2 linked regions of the Caenorhabditis elegans genome follow. The protein of the gene in region 2 purifies or fractionates together with the protein of the main gene of each other region. This does not show direct contact. Each region holds a gene or a part of one and is shown on either strand. Other genes may lie near its edges.

Region 1 (9,360 bases), on a different chromosome or scaffold from region 2:
GTTACAGGCTGTTCAACCATTCTCTCGTGAATCCGGGCACGGTAGCTGCAAGTGGAAATTATAATGACAGCTGGAAAGTTAGAGAAATGTAATATCTTACTTTTGTTTTCGAATCAAAGTTCCGCTTTCAAAAGCTTGTTGCAACATTTTTCGATTTTCTCTAAAATTCAAATACTGCTCAAAATCCTTGTCTTCTGAAATTTCAGATATTCGAGAGAATGAATAAATATTAAACAATACCTTCCCGGTAATAGTTTAAAATATCTTTCCTAGACTGATTCTTCTCATAAAGATCAGCTTTGTCCATCAAAATAGAAACCTTCGAGTGATGAATGTAAATGTTCTAAACACAATTATTTTGATTTATTCTCTAAATTGTATTTAATCCTATATATAGGGATATATCCTACCGGTCCCAATTCTAATTGACGTGCAATTGGAGACCACGAACGATAAGTGAATCCCCAGTAAAGATCATCGAGGAATTCTACAATCGATGGGAAGAAGAAAATTGCAAGAATAATCTTAATAGCTCCAGTTAGATTAGTTTTCGTTACCTTAGCTTACGTGCGAAATGTTAGACAGAGAAATTACGAATATTGGAATCACTGCAGCGATCATTCTTCAGAATGGAAAAATAATAATAATGAATTCTTAATTCCCTATTCTCATTTACACGTTGAACAAAGTGCTTGAATAAAAAAGAGCATGAAAGTAGAGCGAATTTATTTATCGCGGTGTGAAAAAAGAGATTACTCATGAATATCGAAGGGCCAAATAATCATCGTACAGGTAAAAAGTTGAAATGGTGATAGTTAAACAATACACGGAAGACGATAGGTGGTTAAAGCACGGGAGAATAAATAATAAAAATGATGATGAATGAATTACATCAAAAGAGTTCGAGTTCTCCTCGGTAATTTCCAGCTGGCAGCTTTGACGTATCCATGTTGTCAAAATAAGGATGAACGAGAGCTTTTTTCGCGTTGAGACGAAGTGATGGATCGTAGATCAGCAAACCCTGAAAATATTATTTTACTTGTTAAAGTACTATTTTAGAAATCTTACTTCAAGAAGAGAGAATGCAGTATCGTCCAAAAGGTGCTTTCCAGTCTTCTTGTCGTAGAACTTGTCACGGAGGAAATTCTCACGCCATTTTGGGAACGTCGCCTTGTAGTCCGGAAGTGATTCAACACCATTCCATTCCAACTCAGTCGGTGTGCCGAGAACTCTGAAGATGCGGAACAGCTCATCAATTTCTGAATCTCCTTGAAACAGTGGCTTCTTCGTGGCCATTTCAGCAAAAATGCATCCAATCGACCACATGTCTACGCCCATCGAGTATCTCTGAGCACCCATCAGAATTTCTGGAGCTCTATACCAGAGAGTGACAACCTGAAAACCGGACAATCATTGTATTGGTGTACAGAATGAATGCAAACTCACTTCATGCGTGTAAACGCGAATCGGGATACCAATAGCTCTGGCAAGTCCGAAATCGGCAAGCTTGATTGCTCCATTGTTGTCGACCAGCAAGTTCTGTGGCTTAAGATCGCGATGAATAACACGACGCTGATGACAAAAACACATAGCTTGAAGAATCTGGAACAATTATTCTTGTAAAGACATCGATTTTAAATATTTCCTCACTTGGAATGTGTAACTTTTAAGAGTTTCGAGCGGAAGGTATTCATCTTTTCCCAACTGATCCATGTATCGTTTCAAGTCGAAAGACAGGAATTCGAAGATCAGGAAAAGCCGGTTCTCCTGCATAATGACCGCTTCCAATCCAACAACATTCGGATGCTGGAGCTCTTTGAGCAAGCTGATCTCTCGCACAGCCGTTGATGGAACACCCTATAAGAATTATTGTTTGAAAAAACGAAACTGCTACAAAATTCAAATACCTCATCTTCACTTTCCAATCTGATTTTCTTCATAGCAACCATGGCATTGGTTCTTCTGTTTTTGCCTTTGTAGACGACTCCGTATGTTCCTTCGCCGATTTTTTCGAGCTTCGTGAAATCGTTGAGTGTGTAAACCGAATCTCCCTCGTGGGCCACTTCTCCTTCGCGAATAGGATCCATAACTAAAATTGGAAATGAATTTTGTCAGAACAATTGTAATACAACGATAGAAAAGGCGTAAGCGTGTAATTTTGAATCATTTCCACTGCCGCCGAAAAGGGGGGACAGTCGGTGCGAGACCATTGCTTAGTGAAAAGGCATGCACCTTTGATGACAATTTATTCCGAAAAGGAGAGTACGCGCTGAGAAGGATTGTTGTGAAACATTGCATTCATATGATAAAATTTAACGCAAAACTGTGCAGAAAAGAGAATAAATACAGGCCGGAAAATATAAAAATAACTACTCAAAATAATCATAAACTTGATTTGTTCTACTTTATGAGGCTTCCAACAAAACTAAACAGAGTTTCAAAGAAAAATCGTAATCTTGGCTTCGGAGGGTGGATGGCGAGAGTTGCTGCCCCGAAGACCATAGAGAGGTAATTTTTATTATTTAATTTTACATGATGAAAGCGAAATTTGGCAAGTAAGCAACGAATGCATTTTTAGGAAATTATTTATTCAGATAAATCAAAAAATAGAGCAGATTCCTTGAAATCCTAAAAAAGTGAGGACTTCGATTCTGTCTGAAGATGGAAGTTGGCGCCAAATTTTTGGCTGCGTAGCGACTCATTCTTCATTGTGATACGCAGCCAAACAACGTCCTTTCAAAAAAATTCGCGCATTTGATTTTCTCTCGATTTCTATACTTTTCTCAGGTTTGTACAGTGTTTTTCTTGCTAAGATCAATATTTTATTAGAAATGCATCAAATTTCTCAATCAAAACAATTTTTTCCTGCAAACCTTTTTTTCCAAATTTATTTTTTGAATTTCTCGTTGGAAACTAGTTGAAAATGCTAAAATAATTGATAAATCTTTGTTGCAGTATGTCCGAAGATCATCACGACGAGGAGCAATTCGACTCTGCCGAGTCCGGAGCTGCTGCTACTTTCCCGAAGCAATGCTCGGCTCTTCGCAAGAACGAGCACGTCATGATCCGAGGAAGACCATGCAAGGTAAAAAATAATTCAGTGAATTTTCCTAATTAGAAATTTTTTAGATCGTCGAGATGAGCACCTCCAAGACTGGAAAGCACGGACATGCTAAGGTTCACATGGTTGCCATCGATATTTTCACCACCAAGAAGCTTGAGGATATCTGCCCATCCACCCACAACATGGACGTCCCAGTCGTCAAGAGACGCGAGTACATTGTAAGTTGTTAATTAGTTTTTAAGAAGGCTTTCAAAAAAATCAACTTTGGACGGTTAAACAAATCTTTTGAAAAATGAGTTAATCAGCTGTAAAAAATGTTATTGATCAAATTTTCAGCTCATGTCGATCGAAGACGGGTTCTGCTCGCTCATGGATCCAGAATCTTGCGAGCTCAAAGACGATCTCAAAATGCCAGAAGGAGACTTGGGAAACACTATCCGTGAGGCTCTCGAGAAAGACGAAGGAAGCGTCTTGGTAATTATTTCGACATCCACCTTTTGAATCTGAAAATTTTGATTTTCAGGTTCAAGTCGTTGCTGCCTGCGGAGAGGAGGCTATTCTCGGATACAAGATTTCTACCAAGGAATAATTGCATTTATATACAATTTCATAATAAAAGCAGTTCCAGTTTAATCATCCCGCTTTTTATACATCATTCGAAAAACATCGGGCAATGAACAAGTGCACCTCCGCTGGTGTTGTGTAATGTGGGTGTTTTATGTGTCGTGTTGATTGTGATATCTGCTCACCAAACGAAAATGAATTGCTTGCAAACCGCGGAGGTGACATCTGTCCATGGAGTGTTAAATCAGATTCAGTTGTCAGACTTTGTAATCACAGTTCCTAGTTTTTGGAACTACATGGCCTGTGCAGCTTTTCCACCCTTTGTACACTACACCTTATTGCTTATTGAGTTGACCCCAGGTTGGCCGCGTGCCAATAGAGCTGTTCACTTTAAAACGTGTCCTCCTCCGCGACCTGCGAGCACCCCCTTAACCACGATAATATCTAGGTGCAGTATCAAAGACCCACCTTCCTCAAACCTCACTAGCCATCCTTCCTTCATCAATTGGCAATTTAAAAGAGTCGCATAAATTTCACAGTCACCCAGGAAGATTTCGTAAACTCTACGCTTCCATCATCATCTCGCCACATCTCGCACCTCCTGCCGCGTTTACACCCGTGTCCACTCTTTCATCAGCCTTGATTGTTTGCCTTTCTCCAAAACCACACATATATCCGTCCTAATCTAGATTACTGTAGTCCGTCTCCACCTGTTCTTACTTAAGCTTTTCCTATCTCCGGCTTGCCTTCACATTCGCAAACAAAGCCTGAGAATTTGATGAGTATTTGTTCCATTTGTTGCATCAACCAGCATGTTGTATAACTGTTCATTTTACGATTCCAATAAGTTTTTATGATGGAGTACTGTTAATAGCGTTTTTACTTTAAAATTCTCAAACTGGTTAGCAGACCAATTTTGGGTCTGCTAAATAGTTTTTATAAAAAAACCATTGACAGTACAGCCTCTAAAAAAGATTAAAATAATTTTTGAATTCAGAAAGTTCTTGTTTCATATAAATAAGAGCCATCCCTCTACACGGGTCATCTAGTAGCTCTAGGTCGACACCTGTTCGTAGCAGGTTTTATGAGCTCAACAAAGGTTGTAGGTGAGCCGTGCCAACGTCTCAGTTTCAAATTCCGAGTTGAGTATTACGAAAACCTGGGTATAAAACGAGGGGATGCCGAGAAAAAAAGAGTAGTGGACACACACACACATACGTCTCATCTTCTTATTTCTTTTCGTTTCTTCCCGTCCAGGAGCCACTTGTCGTCCCGTCGTCATTTTGAGTTCCAAATGATGAAAGATTCAATGAATCACGGAGACGCAGGGTCCCGTCGATGGCTCATTTTGCGTGTTTTAGTGGCGGGACACAGGAAGAAGTCGAAGATTCACAACATGTCGCAACTGATTCATCACTAGTGCCTTCTTGCTCCAAGAGCAATGTTTTTCTAATTAGTTTGTACTACTTGATAACTTCTTAAGATTTGTTCTACTACTTTTAAAAATTTGGTTTTGTAGCTAGAAATCCTGAAAAAAAAAACATTTTTGCTATGAACTTTTTTTTGGATATACTTTTATAAACAGCATCTAGAATTAGTTAGAGTACCTGAAAAATCAAAAATACGAAATAGTACTTGTATCCTATGTGCGAAGTTGCACGATTTTCATTGCAAAATTAGGGTCTCCGGTCTCGCGACGACCGAAGAAAATATAAATAAATTGAAATGAAAACGAGTGTGCGCCTTTAAGAAGTACAGTAGTTTTTTTTGAAAGTTTCCTTGAATTTTTTTTCCACTTCAAATTATTCGTTTCGCTTCGAGACCAAGTACCGTAATAGTACCGTAAATTTCGAATTCCTATTTTTTAAAAAAATTCTTTAAACTGAATTTAATCAAAAATCAATATTCAAGTTAAATTTTCACCTTTTTGGTGAGTTTCAATTTCTCGAATGATACAGTAATTTTGAAAAAATAATTTTTTCTTATTTCAAATAATCTAAAAAATAAAACTTCATATTCTTTCAATGATGCCGAAATTTACAAAAGCCATGGTAGTTTATTAGAATTTTTTAGAATTTCATGTCAAAAAATTGGAATAGTTTTCACCTATCATAATTTGGAATTTGTAATTTTGACCAAAAAAGTCCTACGAATTTTGTATTTAAATTCAAGAATCATAGAACTTCGAACCTGCAGGAATGTCCAAAATTGTTAGACTTTAATTTTTTGTTGGGGAATTGTTGGTTTTTTTTTTTGAAAAAGTGTTAGACCTATATTTGTATGAGTACAAATGCTTTAAACATAATTAGAAACAAAAACAATTTAAAAAAATCTTTAATTATTTGGTTGACTTCCAAAATTGTTGAGAACTTGCAATTTTTGGATATAGATGGAACCAATTTCAATTTTTTTAAATAAAAAAGTATTGCTATGATATTTGACAATTCATCTTCTTCTCTGTATTTTCCGTACCCCAATGGTTTGCACTTCAATATAAGTTTTAAATTTAAAAAAGTTGATTTCCTTGTTTCCAAAACACTTCTATGCCTTAAAATGTGATAAAAATATAATAAACGATTCAATATTAATTCAGAAAATGCATTCACGGATATTGTTACTACTTTTGATGTTCGCATTCAATGTCGGCCTAATCAATTGTGGTCAAAGTCTTGTATCACCTCAATCAAACTGTAAAATCAGGTAAAATTACCCACTATTGACAACCACCAATTATATCTTCTTCTTATAATTTCTAATTATAGGTGCGAAAATGGTGGAATGTGTGTTTTCGATTTGGAGCGACCCGATTTTCATTCATGCATCTGTCTTTTGGGGGTCTACACTGGGGACAGATGTCAGATTAGAAGTAACTCAAAATTTAGAGTTTAGGAAAAATATTTAATTTTGAAATTTCAGTTGCTCCCGAAGATATTGAAACAACTGCAACATCCGATGAAACATCACACCCAATGAATATCCAACATCAGCGTATGTTTCTTTAAAATTCAAATTATCATGATTTTGTCCCCATTTGAAACTTCACTTTAAAGGCACACACTGTTTTCTGAGTGGGTCTCGCCACAATTTCAGTAGAACTAAGCGCTAACAAGCGCTAAAACGGTGTTTTTCAATTTCTGAAATTTTAAAATAAAAAATGTTTGCCGAAGTTGCCGAACCCAAAACTTTTCGGCAACTTTTTTTTCAGTTTAAGTTGGTCTACATATATTTTGTTGGATTTATATTTCGGAGGGTTTTTGTTTAAAAAAAAAGTATTTTTACATTTACGGCGAATGACGTAATTGCCAATATTGACAAAATTGTCAAAAAAGCCAAAATTGCCAGAATTTCCAAAGTTACCAAAGTTTTCGATATTGCCAAAATCGACCAGTGAAGTATTATGCGCGCATCGCAAAGGAACTGTTACTAGGGTTTTTTTCCTGAAAGCTGAACAAAAACATTTAAATGTGCTATTCTGTTGTTCCATTTTTTTGTATTATTTTGTTTGAGAATGTAATTGGTCCTGACACGACAGCTGTCGAGATGTCAAAAGTTGTCAACCACAACACATTTTGTTTTAGATCAGCAATAAATTCTTTAAATTCCAGAATCTCAAGCTGATATTGATGATGCTCGACGACGTGACGATGAGAGAAAACGTGAGTACGAGAGACAAGTCGCCGAGAGGACACGCAAAGAAAAAGAGGATCGAGAGAGAGCATCAGATGAAGAGAGACGCCGACAACAACACGAACAGTATTGGAAAGAGGTAAGCCCTCCCCCCATCAGCAGAAAAGAACAGTTGTTTTAAATTGAAAGAGAGATAGTGAGCATCTCAATGAGCTCTCTATCACATCGAGCAAGCAGACACTTGTTTTGAACACATTCCACACCACCAACGGGAGGTGCATTTTCTGATTGAGCAAAAGATTTGGGCGGTATATGAATGATAGATCAAAGGGGACAATTTGAGGGGAAGTGTTCCAATTGATATTTGATTGAAAACTAGTTCCGGATTTTGGATTTGCCTGTTGCCGCCAAATGTTGTAAGAATATTATTGTCAAAAACATTGAAACATTTATTGCCCATGAGCCATATAAGGTGAATCATGGTGCAGTGGGGTGTGAATAAAGCAAAACATTAGATTTTCAAGAACCAATCTGCACAAAAATTAAATTTTCAAGTAACAAAGTGTGACAAAAAAAAGCATTATATTATCGGCGTAATGTTTTTATAGGTAGTTTTGGAATTTCGGCTCAGAATTAACCTTTGCTACATGCCAAAGTTTCCAATAATTCCAAAACTTACCGAGTTTCCTAAAATTACCAAAATTGCAAAAAATGCCAAAGTTAAAAAAGGTAATTAAAAAATTTCTAAAGCTGCCAAAATTGGCACAATATAAAATTGCCAACTTGACAATATTTCTAAAATGACGATAATTTACAGAATATACAAAACTGCCAAAATTCCAAAATTGACATAATTGCAAAACTGACAAATTTGTCATATTTCCCAATATTACCAATATTGATAAAAATGCCAAAATTTTTAAATTGACCAAAACTTATAAAACTGTCGGCCTTGCCAACACTTACCAAAAATGGAAAAAATTCCAAAGTTTCCAAAAACTGGGTTTTGGCAAAATTTCTGAAGTTGCCGAAATTAGCAAAACTGACATATTTGTCATATTTGCCAATATTGCCAATATTGAGAAAAATGGCCGAAACGTATAAACTGTCAGTCTTGCCAAATTTGCCAAATTTGCCAAAAAAAATTCGAAATTATCGGAAATTCTGAAAAGAATATCTACTCACTGTAGACGTGAATATTTTAAAATATCTTACCCTCCGCCCCCTCATTTAAAAATTTTCCTCTCAACAAAATATTTCTAGGAGACAGCTCGCCGTGAGCAACAACGAGCTGAAGCCGAACGAAGAATTCAGGAACAAAGAGTACGTGATGATGAGAGACGCAGACAACACGAGGCTGAAAGATCACAAATTGAAGAGAGACGTAGAGAGGTTTGAATGAAGTACCGTATTATTTTAATTCTGAATCCCTTTGCAGGAAGAAAGCCGCCGATTGGCTGCACAACGAGAAACCGATGAAGCAAGAGTAAGAGATGAAGAGAGACGGAGACAAGAAACAGAAAAAGAAGTAGAAAAGGAATTAAATGATAAAAGGACACAATCAATGAATGAACAATTTGAATATGAAGGTGGAGATGAAGAATATCCACAAGTTGCTGAAAAAGAAGATGAATATGATGAAGGGTATGAGACAGATAATACTGAAGATGTTACAATCACAACTACAAAAACTACAAAACTTATGAAGCCTATGGTAGAAGAGAGTAAAGGAGTAGATGGAGATGATGGAAGTGATATGATTATGGAAAAAGATGAAATGGAAGATGATAAAGAACCAATTAGAAAAGAAGATGAAAAACTTATTGATTCGATTAAACATGTCTTCAATAAAGCAGTCGATGAAACTGTAAAAGAACATCCAATGTAAGTTTTTTCTAAATCTAGTTCTAGATATCAACTATAATTATAATACATATTCAAAAGTTGCTATGTGAAACATGCTATGAAGCACCCTGATTTTAATCCGACGCCTGAAAAAAATACAGATGTTAGGAATTTTGTACACCCATTATCAGGGCACACCAAAAATGGGTGGGATAATTTATAAAATTTTATTTGAAATTTACATTTTAGCTGTTGGCTAA
Region 2 (9,130 bases):
TAACTGATAACTGATTAACTTAATTTAAACGCTTTATATGTGGAGTAGCGTCAGTGAGGATTTTGTTTGAAAACACTTTGAAAATTCCAAAATGGACAAACACTATGCTAAACACTTTGAAATTGCTAACATGTTTTATAAAATTTTGAGTCAGTTTTGGCAAATCACCAATTTTACGAAGATTTGCATCTTTTTGAGCTGAGGATTTCTACAGGTTCAAACCCCAAAATTTGAAAAAAAGTATTAAAATCGTAATTTAAAAAATGAGACTCAATTTTTAGGCAAATACTGTTTTACTACTTGATCTTTTGATCAACTTCCAAAATTGTGAAAGACTGAGTAGATTGGCTGAAACAGAAAAATTTCGAAATTATTGTGGAAAGTGTTAGTATAATTTGTGAATGCTATGATTCAAACTATATATGAAATTTCAAATTCTCTTGTAAAACAATAGTTCAGTTTAGATTAATCCAAAATGTTCTCGAAGCCATGCAATCTTGTGCAAAAGATTTTGAACATTTTGGCAGATCTTGTTCTGTGAGACCTTTATACGAACATTTTGAAAATCATATTTTTTTGAATACGTTTCATATTAGAATATTATCAGCTATGTATACTGTTAAAAAATAAGAAACCTTCTTATGTCATTCCTGCTAAATCGAAAAAGTGGAATATTTTCAAATTTTGCAGGATATGTAATTTCACGATTTCAGACAAATCAATCTTATTCCTACTATATTCTCATATTAAAAACTGACGGAAATTCAAAAGGACACCTTTTTTCCTATTCATCTTCTTCATTCTTACTTAATAAATGTATATGGCTTCTTTTTTTCCCGAATTTTTGCGCTTTTTCTCCTATTTTGTGTCTTTGGTTTCCGCGCAAAAAGAACTGAATGAGACATCGTGTGACTTTTTTTGAGCCATCATAGTTCTGGCTCTTAAAAACTCAAAAGAACTACAGAAACAGATAGCGTGAGAAATAAATGAGGAAAGAAAAGAATATATTTCCAAGAAAAAGTTAAGCTTTCTGCACGTAATTATTTTACTTTTTTCGGGAAAATTGAATGAATTGATTGGAAAACGAGATATTTATAAAGAGATATTACAACACGAAAGATCAAAAAATCGAACGTTTGAGTTTTAGATGAAGCGGAAATAAACTAGAACATGTACAGGAAAATTGACAGAAATTGGAAGCTTAAAATCTTAAATGTATATTCTCATTTTCAATAATCTCCCTAATTTGAAATTTCATACAGAAATTATTTCAGAATAAAATTTAAGAGAAAGTGCAAATTTCTTGTTTCTTTTTCATCTTTTTCGCCTCGCTCCATCCCGCCCATCCATTTCAATTACTCTTGGGAATTAGAATCAAATAAAAAAAGAGCAGAACCTAGAAAAGACAAACACGTACTTTTACACATTTTCCATGAAAAAAGGCATGAAAATTTGCAACGTCATAACTTTGTCTAAAAGAAAAATGCGAAAAAATCAAAAGTGAAAACCCATGGGAATGGAACATGTGGGCGTATAAAAGACATAATTGTAGGATTGGAAATCTAGATTTGCTGAAAATGTATTTCAAAAAATTTATGAAATTGTAGATTTATAACTAAGCAGTTATGCTTAGAATTAAAAAAAAGAAATATATATATTGGTTTCTAGAATTTAAGAAAATTAGGACTCTACTAAAATAATGACTGAACTAAAATAATTCCAAAAAAGCTTTTGAATTGAAAAATAAATTAAAATTTTATTCCGATAGGTATATACTTCGAACCACAATTTTTTGAGATTTTTGTTGAAACATTATTAGATTATTAATTCTAAAAAAATGTAAGCATTCAGATTTTGCTTTTAATTTGCTCCAAGAATAAGGGCGGAGTTTTAGGAGTGACTCCGCCCACTCATATGTTTCCGATATATGGCTTTTTGTTGCTCTTTTTGCACGTTTCTTTCCGGGAATAGTGATCGTCTATGGCGTATGAGAGAATAAGAAAATATGGGGAAAGTGAGAAAGTTTAAAAGGGAAATCTAACATGTGCCAGGTGCAAATGTATAAATCTCAGGCATTGCCAAAAATGTTCAAACTATTTATAATCAAAATTCATTAGCTATCAAATTTTTCAAAACGATAAAGTCAGATTTGCTGCGTCTATATTTTTTTAAGCTGAAATCTAAACAATAGAGTATTGGAAAATAAATAACCTAGAATACTAAAAAGGGAGTGCGAGAGGGACATAATGATGGGCAGCAAAGTGTCTGAAAATATAGAAAAATATGAATTCCCACGAGGAATCGGATGGACTCTTCCTCTTCTTCTTCTTTTTCAGTTTTCAGTGTTTACTCTTCAAAAAATATTATATATGATCCAAAACAAGAATGGATATTCTTTGTGGCCAATTGATGAAAATATTATAATTTGCACACCAACAGATATTTATGTTTAAACATATGTTTTAAAATCACTGAAATCCCAAAATATTCTAAATTTGATGCAGCAACTCGTCTATAGATTTATGTATATCGCTGAAACTTTGAGATTTCGACCATTTAAGCAAATTCAAGGATGGTTGGGATTCCAGAGAATTTTTCAGTGGAGACGTGTATTTTGTATCAAACTTTTTCAAAGTTTAAATAAAGGTATAGCAGATTAAACTTGTTTTTGCTGATTTTCAAATATTAAACTGATTGAAATACCTATTCAGCTAAAAAAAAAGTTCCACAAATTTTTTCAAATTTAATCAATTATTTCCATTTATCTCATATTTCATATTGAGATCATTTGGAGAAATTGAAACTAGTGGCAGACCTCTTAATTGCCAGATTGATTTTTTATAAGTATAAAAATTCAGTTTGAATAATTTTAAATCTAAAAGATCCGCTTGAATTTTCAATTTAAAATTCGGGAAATGACTCTGTCTCGTGGCCCACTTGTGTATGTCACTTCTCTCCCCACACACATTCTTCACAATTATCGTTCGGTTCACTAAATATTCACAAAAACATAGACAAACCAAATAAAATAAAGTGTTTGCCTTTTCCAATGTTTTTTTCGAAAAAAAAAGCTAACAACATTCTGCCAAAATAAATGTTTTTTAAAACGTTCCATTGTTGTAGCCAATAACTTTGAAGAGTTTTCAATCGTGTGTTCGAAATGAATAAAGCAGACTAGGTTCACCTTTTTCCACTTACCGTAATCTTGGAGATCAAAAAGTGAGAAGACATTCTGGTCGTGACAAGACCCACTGATTGTGAGAAATAAACCTCTAAAGAAACATTTCACGATGAATATTTCCATAAAACATGAACAAAAAATTCCAAGCTATACCAAATGAAATAGCATTTGGAACTCAAAATAATTGCGATGCTCGATGGGATTTCCTTTTCAACAAAATTAGCTTTTGGCAGCATGCAAAGTGGATCATTGCATTGTTTTTGGGTTTTTTTGAAGGGTGTCCAAGATTTCTAATGAGCCGACGGAGCCTTCTTTTTAGTTTATGAGTTCTATTTTCATAGAACATTTGAAACATCTAATTGTGTAAATTAAAATTCTAAACAGGAAAAAACACATTTTCAAGGCAAATTTTTTACCATCTAACTTGACGAAAAAATATATCATTCAGAAGTCAGAGAACAAGTTCAATTCCCCTGTGAAGCTTCACCTGTTCGAACAGTCATCCAGCGTCAGGCTTCCCGCAGCGGCTTTACTAGTATCAAATTCAAGAAGACATGCGCAAGTTTATACTGAAACAGCTAAAAATAAAACGAAATTTCCATGCAGGTCAGTGTTTATTTATATATAAAAACACGAATACGTCGTTAAATATATTTGTAAAAAGGACCAAATTGAATATTGGCGAAAATTAAAAAGAGTGGCGAGTGGGGGACCATTTTACAAATATTTCAGATTGATTTAGAGGTGGCTCCCGTTGTCGTCTTATCAAATTGGATTTGAATTGAATTAAAACACGTTAAGAACGAGAAAAAGTGAATGGAGAGCTGATGATGGAAGAGGATAAAAATAATAACATTTTACATATCTTGAACAAGTTTCGTGTGTAAGGAGAACGAAAAGGAAAACGAGAATTTGGAAAAAAGAATGGGAAGGGAGCTAGAGATCCATATATGTGAAATGTGGATTTGAACAGTATTAGCGAACTCCAACAGCATTTCCAGAACGAACATTTCCTCCGGTTTTTTGTGTAGCTGCCAATGGTCTGCGGAAAAGAAGCACGTGACGCTCGGGTCCGTGAATCATGTAGTGCATCCATCCTGGGGACTGAAACAAAAACTTGAAGCTATGAAACGATGAGATAACTTATTCTGATGTCAGTTGAAATTATGTTCGCTTTTTCTTTTTTTCTTAAGGAAAAAACCTATTTTAAATATTTACCTGTTGAATTCCAAGACTTCTCCACTCTGTTTCGGACATCAATCGATTTTTTGGGATAAGCTTGGAAACATCCTTGGTGACATGAACGTGACGGTACTCGAACTCATCATCTTCGTATTTGTTTGAATAGTAGAAATCATTGTTTCCAGTTGTCATTTTGTTGGTTGGCGTGAGAAGGTGCGACTCTGAAATAATTCATTTTATTAACAAGCATCGGGAAATAGAAACGGACAAAAATAAGGAAAGAATAAAAAATATTGAAAAAAAAGAGAAGAATGGGAATGAGACAAGAGTGAGAATGGTGAGGAACACTGCATGTACAGACAAATCGATAAATGCTCATTGCTGACGCTGTCTGAATTGATCGATAACATCAACAGAGTCGAGTTTCCCGCGTGTTTCAAAATACTCGTCCTTTGACATTGGAATTTGACAGTGCTTGGTTGACCCAGCAGAGGAAGATGATCTGAAATAAAAAAGGTAATAACATGAAAGCTAATAAAATTTTCAAAACTCACTGAACATTCAAAAACGTCTTCTTTTTGTCACTTTGTAAGTTGCTGTCGACTGTCACTGAATTAGAAAAATTAGATAATCAGAAAACGAAAATAATCTCTTCGAAACTCACACATAAAGCTATGTTTAGGTGAAGAATAATCCTTAGAGGAGGTTGGGGATGACATTAGGAACTGCAAAATTGTAATGTAAAATCCACTGAAGATGATCGAAGATGAAATCACAACGAGATATAAAAAATTGAAGGTGAGAAGGAATGATATTCAAAATTTTGCCAGGTCCTTAGCGTCGACAGACGCAGATACACGATCAAATCGACAAACAAATCCTTCGTCAGTTACTAGTACTAGGAATCGGCCACATGTAGAGAAAGAAGCTTGCCGAACTGTACGTGAGCCAACGGAACAAGTGTGAGTCCTGTAAAAAAAAAAACAGGAATTTATACTGGTAATCACAGCAAAAATATTTCTATAATTTTTAAGAGATATCGAACATCTCAGAAATTATTTTTCTTGATATTTTACTTACGGATTGGTTTCTTCATTATTTCTCAAATCGAAAAACATCACAGAACCACCAGCTCCACCGCACACCAGCCATCGTCTTCTTGGATCAACGGCGAATTTGATAAACCATGCAGAACCACTCGGAACATTCATTGTACGAAATTTCGTTGTACACGACTTTGGACGGAGAACATTTCCATGAATGCGATTTTCAACTTCTCCCTTAGGTGGCCCAAATCTCCAAAAATGAATTGCCTTTTCATTGCCACATCCTTTTGATAGTGCGTAGTTAGTACCGATAAGAAATCGAATGCAATCCACATAATCAGAATGCATATCAGTTGATACGGAGGATGGAGTATAAATTGGAAGAAGGCAGCTCCTGAAAAAGAAGAAAACGATAGAACCAGATTCGTTGAAACAACTTTAAAAAAGTAATGGATGCCGAAAATCAACGTACGGTCGGGGTATGAGCTCTCTGTGAAGTTCGAGCAATTGATCTTCTTCTTTGTCGGGAATGTTGCGAGAAACTGCAGACTTTCTAAAAATACAAAAATGAATTACATTATGATTTGATAGCCCTGGTCTCTTTATTTACCAGTCTTTTATCCAAAACTCAAGTTTCAAAAATATTTTTATATACAACAACAGCAACAATTTTCGCGTTAAGGACTGATCAAATACTAGAAGGAACTAGAAAATGTTAGCTGAATAATTGATTTACCTCATTGTTCCTTTCGAAACATACGGAATATCTTGTGATTGTGTTAGCACATTTATTTTATCTTGGTGAAGAGCTTTGCACGCTCGTTCCAAATGTTCCTTTACTTGTTTCACAGATAAATCCCACTCCATGAGTTGATGATCGAATCCACACGATAAAATGAAGTCTCCGTCGGTTGACCAATCCTAAAATGAGAAATTCGAAACGTAAGTAAATTTAATAAACCAACCACAGAAAGAATTGTTCCAGCATGACACTCGAGACCCCCAATAACAATCAGACATGCTTCGTTTCGAATATGATGAATCCGGATAGATTGATCTGATGAAGCACAGACAATCAGATTTGAGTTGGCAGGACACGTACGAATGTCATTGATTTCCCATCCAACACTCCGAAGACGCTAAAACTCCAAATTATTTCAGTAATTTTTGATTATTTACATTCGACAGCTTCCTCGAGACGTAGTCGATAACGTAAATGTGACCCAAAGTTCCACCCGTTACAACTTTAAAGGGATTTCGGTCGTTTTCAGCTTCATATGTGTCGTAACACCAGGTAACAGTGAAGAGCGACTCCTCTCGTTCGACCTTTGATGATTTATCGGTAGGAAAATTACAAGACCACTGCAGCTCAATGTTATTTATGTCGATGGGAACAGAATACATGTGAAGCTGAAAAACAAATATTTATACCTCATTGTCAGTTTCCTGCTAAATAACGCTTACAAAGCTTCCTCCGACAGTTGCAACCGCTTGTTCCTCATCTATTCCTGCGTATTGATTGAATGCACATCCGTAAATAGCTTTCTTCTGATCTTCAAGTAGCTTGGCAGTTAGTACAAAAGGTCGTTTTCCGTAATCCTCTGTACTTCGATCAAACCCGTGAAGATTTAATGATTTGAACTTTTTCGTGTGCTCCATTCAGGTTTTTGGGAAAAAGGCAAGAAACAATATATAACAAAATAAAAACTTCACAGTAAAAACATAAAAAAGTCGATTAACTATCAAATTTGCAGTGAAAAAGGAAAAAAATGACAATAAAAACAACAGAAAAACTAAAATATGGCCGCTCGCGCGCATTTCTCGTTCAAATTGCATTAGTGGTGAAAAGCGCGGCGAGACCCAACGAGCGCATAACCTCATGCACCTTTAAAGTGTTATTTTTTTATTACAATTTTTTGTTCTCATTTTGGATTCTGTTCGAAAGTTCCGGGAGGTATTTGTGATTTCGATTGGGAATATGATAGAAAAGACAGTTGCCAGCTTAAATTTTGTATTGTCGTGAAGTACCACTTCCAATTTCGGAGTGGATTCGAACGGGATTAAGTAGATTTTGTACTCGGCTTTTTTCGCAAGGAGCGAAACTAATAATTTTGTATATTTTTTTTGTATGATCCTATATTGCTACGTGAGCTATTGTCAGTTAAAAAAAATGTTTTTGTGGTCTTTTTCAGATTTCAGAGCGATCAACTTGGGGGTATTCATTCATATTTATTATTTAGTAAAATTGTCCTTATATCAAAAGATCCACTTTGTGAATTCCGTAGACTTCTTTCATTTTTGCTATTTCGAATTTGTCTTCGTCGGCTGCTGACTCATCCATATCCCTGCGTCTCCAATGCCTGATTCTCTGCGTCTTGTGTGATTTTTTGTTGCTTCAACCTGTTCTTCTAGCGGTTGCCTTTTTCTCATGCTGTGACTGTTCCCGTTCATTACTAATTCTTAATTTCATAATATTTTAGTGTTATCGTTTTTTCTTCAATTTTTTAGCCAAAATGTTATCTCGAACGAGCTATAGTTATTTTCAGATCGCCTGTATGAAATATGACATGAACCATCGCAAAAATTCTGATGATACTCCACCGGCGTCTAGGACCGTCAAAGAAATGATGGCAGAGTTTCAAAATAAACTGGACGACGGAGACAACAGATTCCGGAAGCAACCACCACCGCCACCTTGTGAGTCTGAAACAGAGAAGACGTCTTGTATTTACTGTCGACAATTGATTGAGGCGTAGCAAAAAACTTCGTTTGCTTTGTTATCTGTGGAGAAAATAAAAGTTACGAAATTTCTTGAAAAAAAAAACTAAAAAATAATTTTTTTAAAAACTATTTATGTCTGTATTTATTGATAATAACTAAATAGATCATATGATCATAGTATTGAAAAAGAGAGAACCGAAAATCGGGTTGACAATGATTCTGTGAGTTAAAAAAAACAGTCAATTTTTCGAAAAAAAAATCTGCCTTAAACTCCACCAACAGTGAATCGAATTAATTTTTAAAGGAAATTAAGTTCTCATTTCAATTTATATATTCGTTGTTAGAATCTAGACGAAAATTCATAAATATTTTGTTACTATCATTTTTTTTTCTATTAACTTTTACAATATCGTAGAACAACTGATTTCCGTGTTAAAATTGTTTTTTGACTGTTCTTCTTCCTATTGCTTTTTGTTAACGAAAAATGCCCAATTTTCTTCAAAGTTCCTATCAAATCTGTACAGACGCGTGACCGATTGCGAAAGTAGTCAAAAAGAAGTATAAAGGCTTTTCGCAATATTGTTTGCCTAAAGGTGCCACTTGACAGATTTTACTCCTTTGTCGCCAAGAAGTGTACTAGTAATAAATTTTAGAAAATTGGGTTGTGTCCTTATATTAATTACTTGGATTATCGCCAACATTTGATTAAAATAGTCATTCTTGTGTGAACACTTGCCAAAAATATATTCACTATTTAACTTCTGTTGGTATTATTGTTCCACCCCCCGGAAGTGACCAATTTTCCGTCTGCCACTGTGTGTGCCTAGTGGTATGACTCATTTATTGAAAGAAAAACAATTATTTTATCATCTCTCAAAATGAGTGAAGCAGATACAATTACAGCAATTAGATAGTTTAAATATACCTATGAGGTTAACAGATTGGAAGATTCATTTTTAAAACAATTTTGCAGCCCCAAGACGAGCTCCACCACCGCCTC

The links.
Region 1: the proteins of cks-1 (region 2) and cdk-1 purify together in Caenorhabditis elegans (affinity purification with western blotting, with the first as the bait; one study listed by BioGRID). This does not show direct contact.

The regions. Positions count from the first base shown.
Region 1 is NC_003281.10:9,740,201-9,749,560, reverse strand, and holds cdk-1 (Cyclin-dependent kinase 1), read right to left. Parts: upstream 2,090-9,360; 5' UTR 2,088-2,089; coding exon 1,908-2,087; intron 1,858-1,907; coding exon 1,651-1,857; intron 1,603-1,650; coding exon 1,447-1,602; intron 1,396-1,446; coding exon 1,069-1,395; intron 1,022-1,068; coding exon 893-1,021; 3' UTR 709-892; downstream 1-708. Other genes in the region: T05G5.4 (uncharacterized protein), read right to left, coding at 1-45, 101-194, 241-343, 411-524, 568-621; iff-1 (Eukaryotic translation initiation factor 5A-1), read left to right, coding at 2,408-2,508, 2,956-3,085, 3,130-3,282, 3,401-3,538, 3,588-3,653; T05G5.1 (Prothymosin alpha-like), read left to right, coding at 6,225-6,328, 6,391-6,494, 6,545-6,616, 7,234-7,394, 8,519-8,647, 8,694-9,139. UniProt on the Caenorhabditis elegans protein: Plays a key role in the control of the eukaryotic cell cycle. Required for entry into S-phase and mitosis. Acts as a component of the kinase complex that phosphorylates the repetitive C-terminus of RNA polymerase II.
Region 2 is NC_003282.8:8,509,375-8,518,504, reverse strand, and holds cks-1 (Cyclin-dependent kinases regulatory subunit), read right to left. Parts: upstream 4,587-9,130; 5' UTR 4,556-4,586; coding exon 4,400-4,555; intron 4,286-4,399; coding exon 4,157-4,285; 3' UTR 3,780-4,156; downstream 1-3,779. Other genes in the region: C09G4.4 (uncharacterized protein), read right to left, coding at 4,739-4,865, 4,918-4,972, 5,028-5,082; Polycomb protein mes-6, read right to left, coding at 5,179-5,332, 5,444-5,803, 5,882-5,962, 6,146-6,330, 6,375-6,548, 6,589-6,819, 6,874-7,068; FYVE, RhoGEF and PH domain-containing protein tag-77, read left to right, coding at 7,965-8,106, 9,104-9,130. UniProt on the Caenorhabditis elegans protein: Binds to the catalytic subunit of the cyclin dependent kinases and is essential for their biological function. Has a role in the exit from M phase during early mitotic cell division.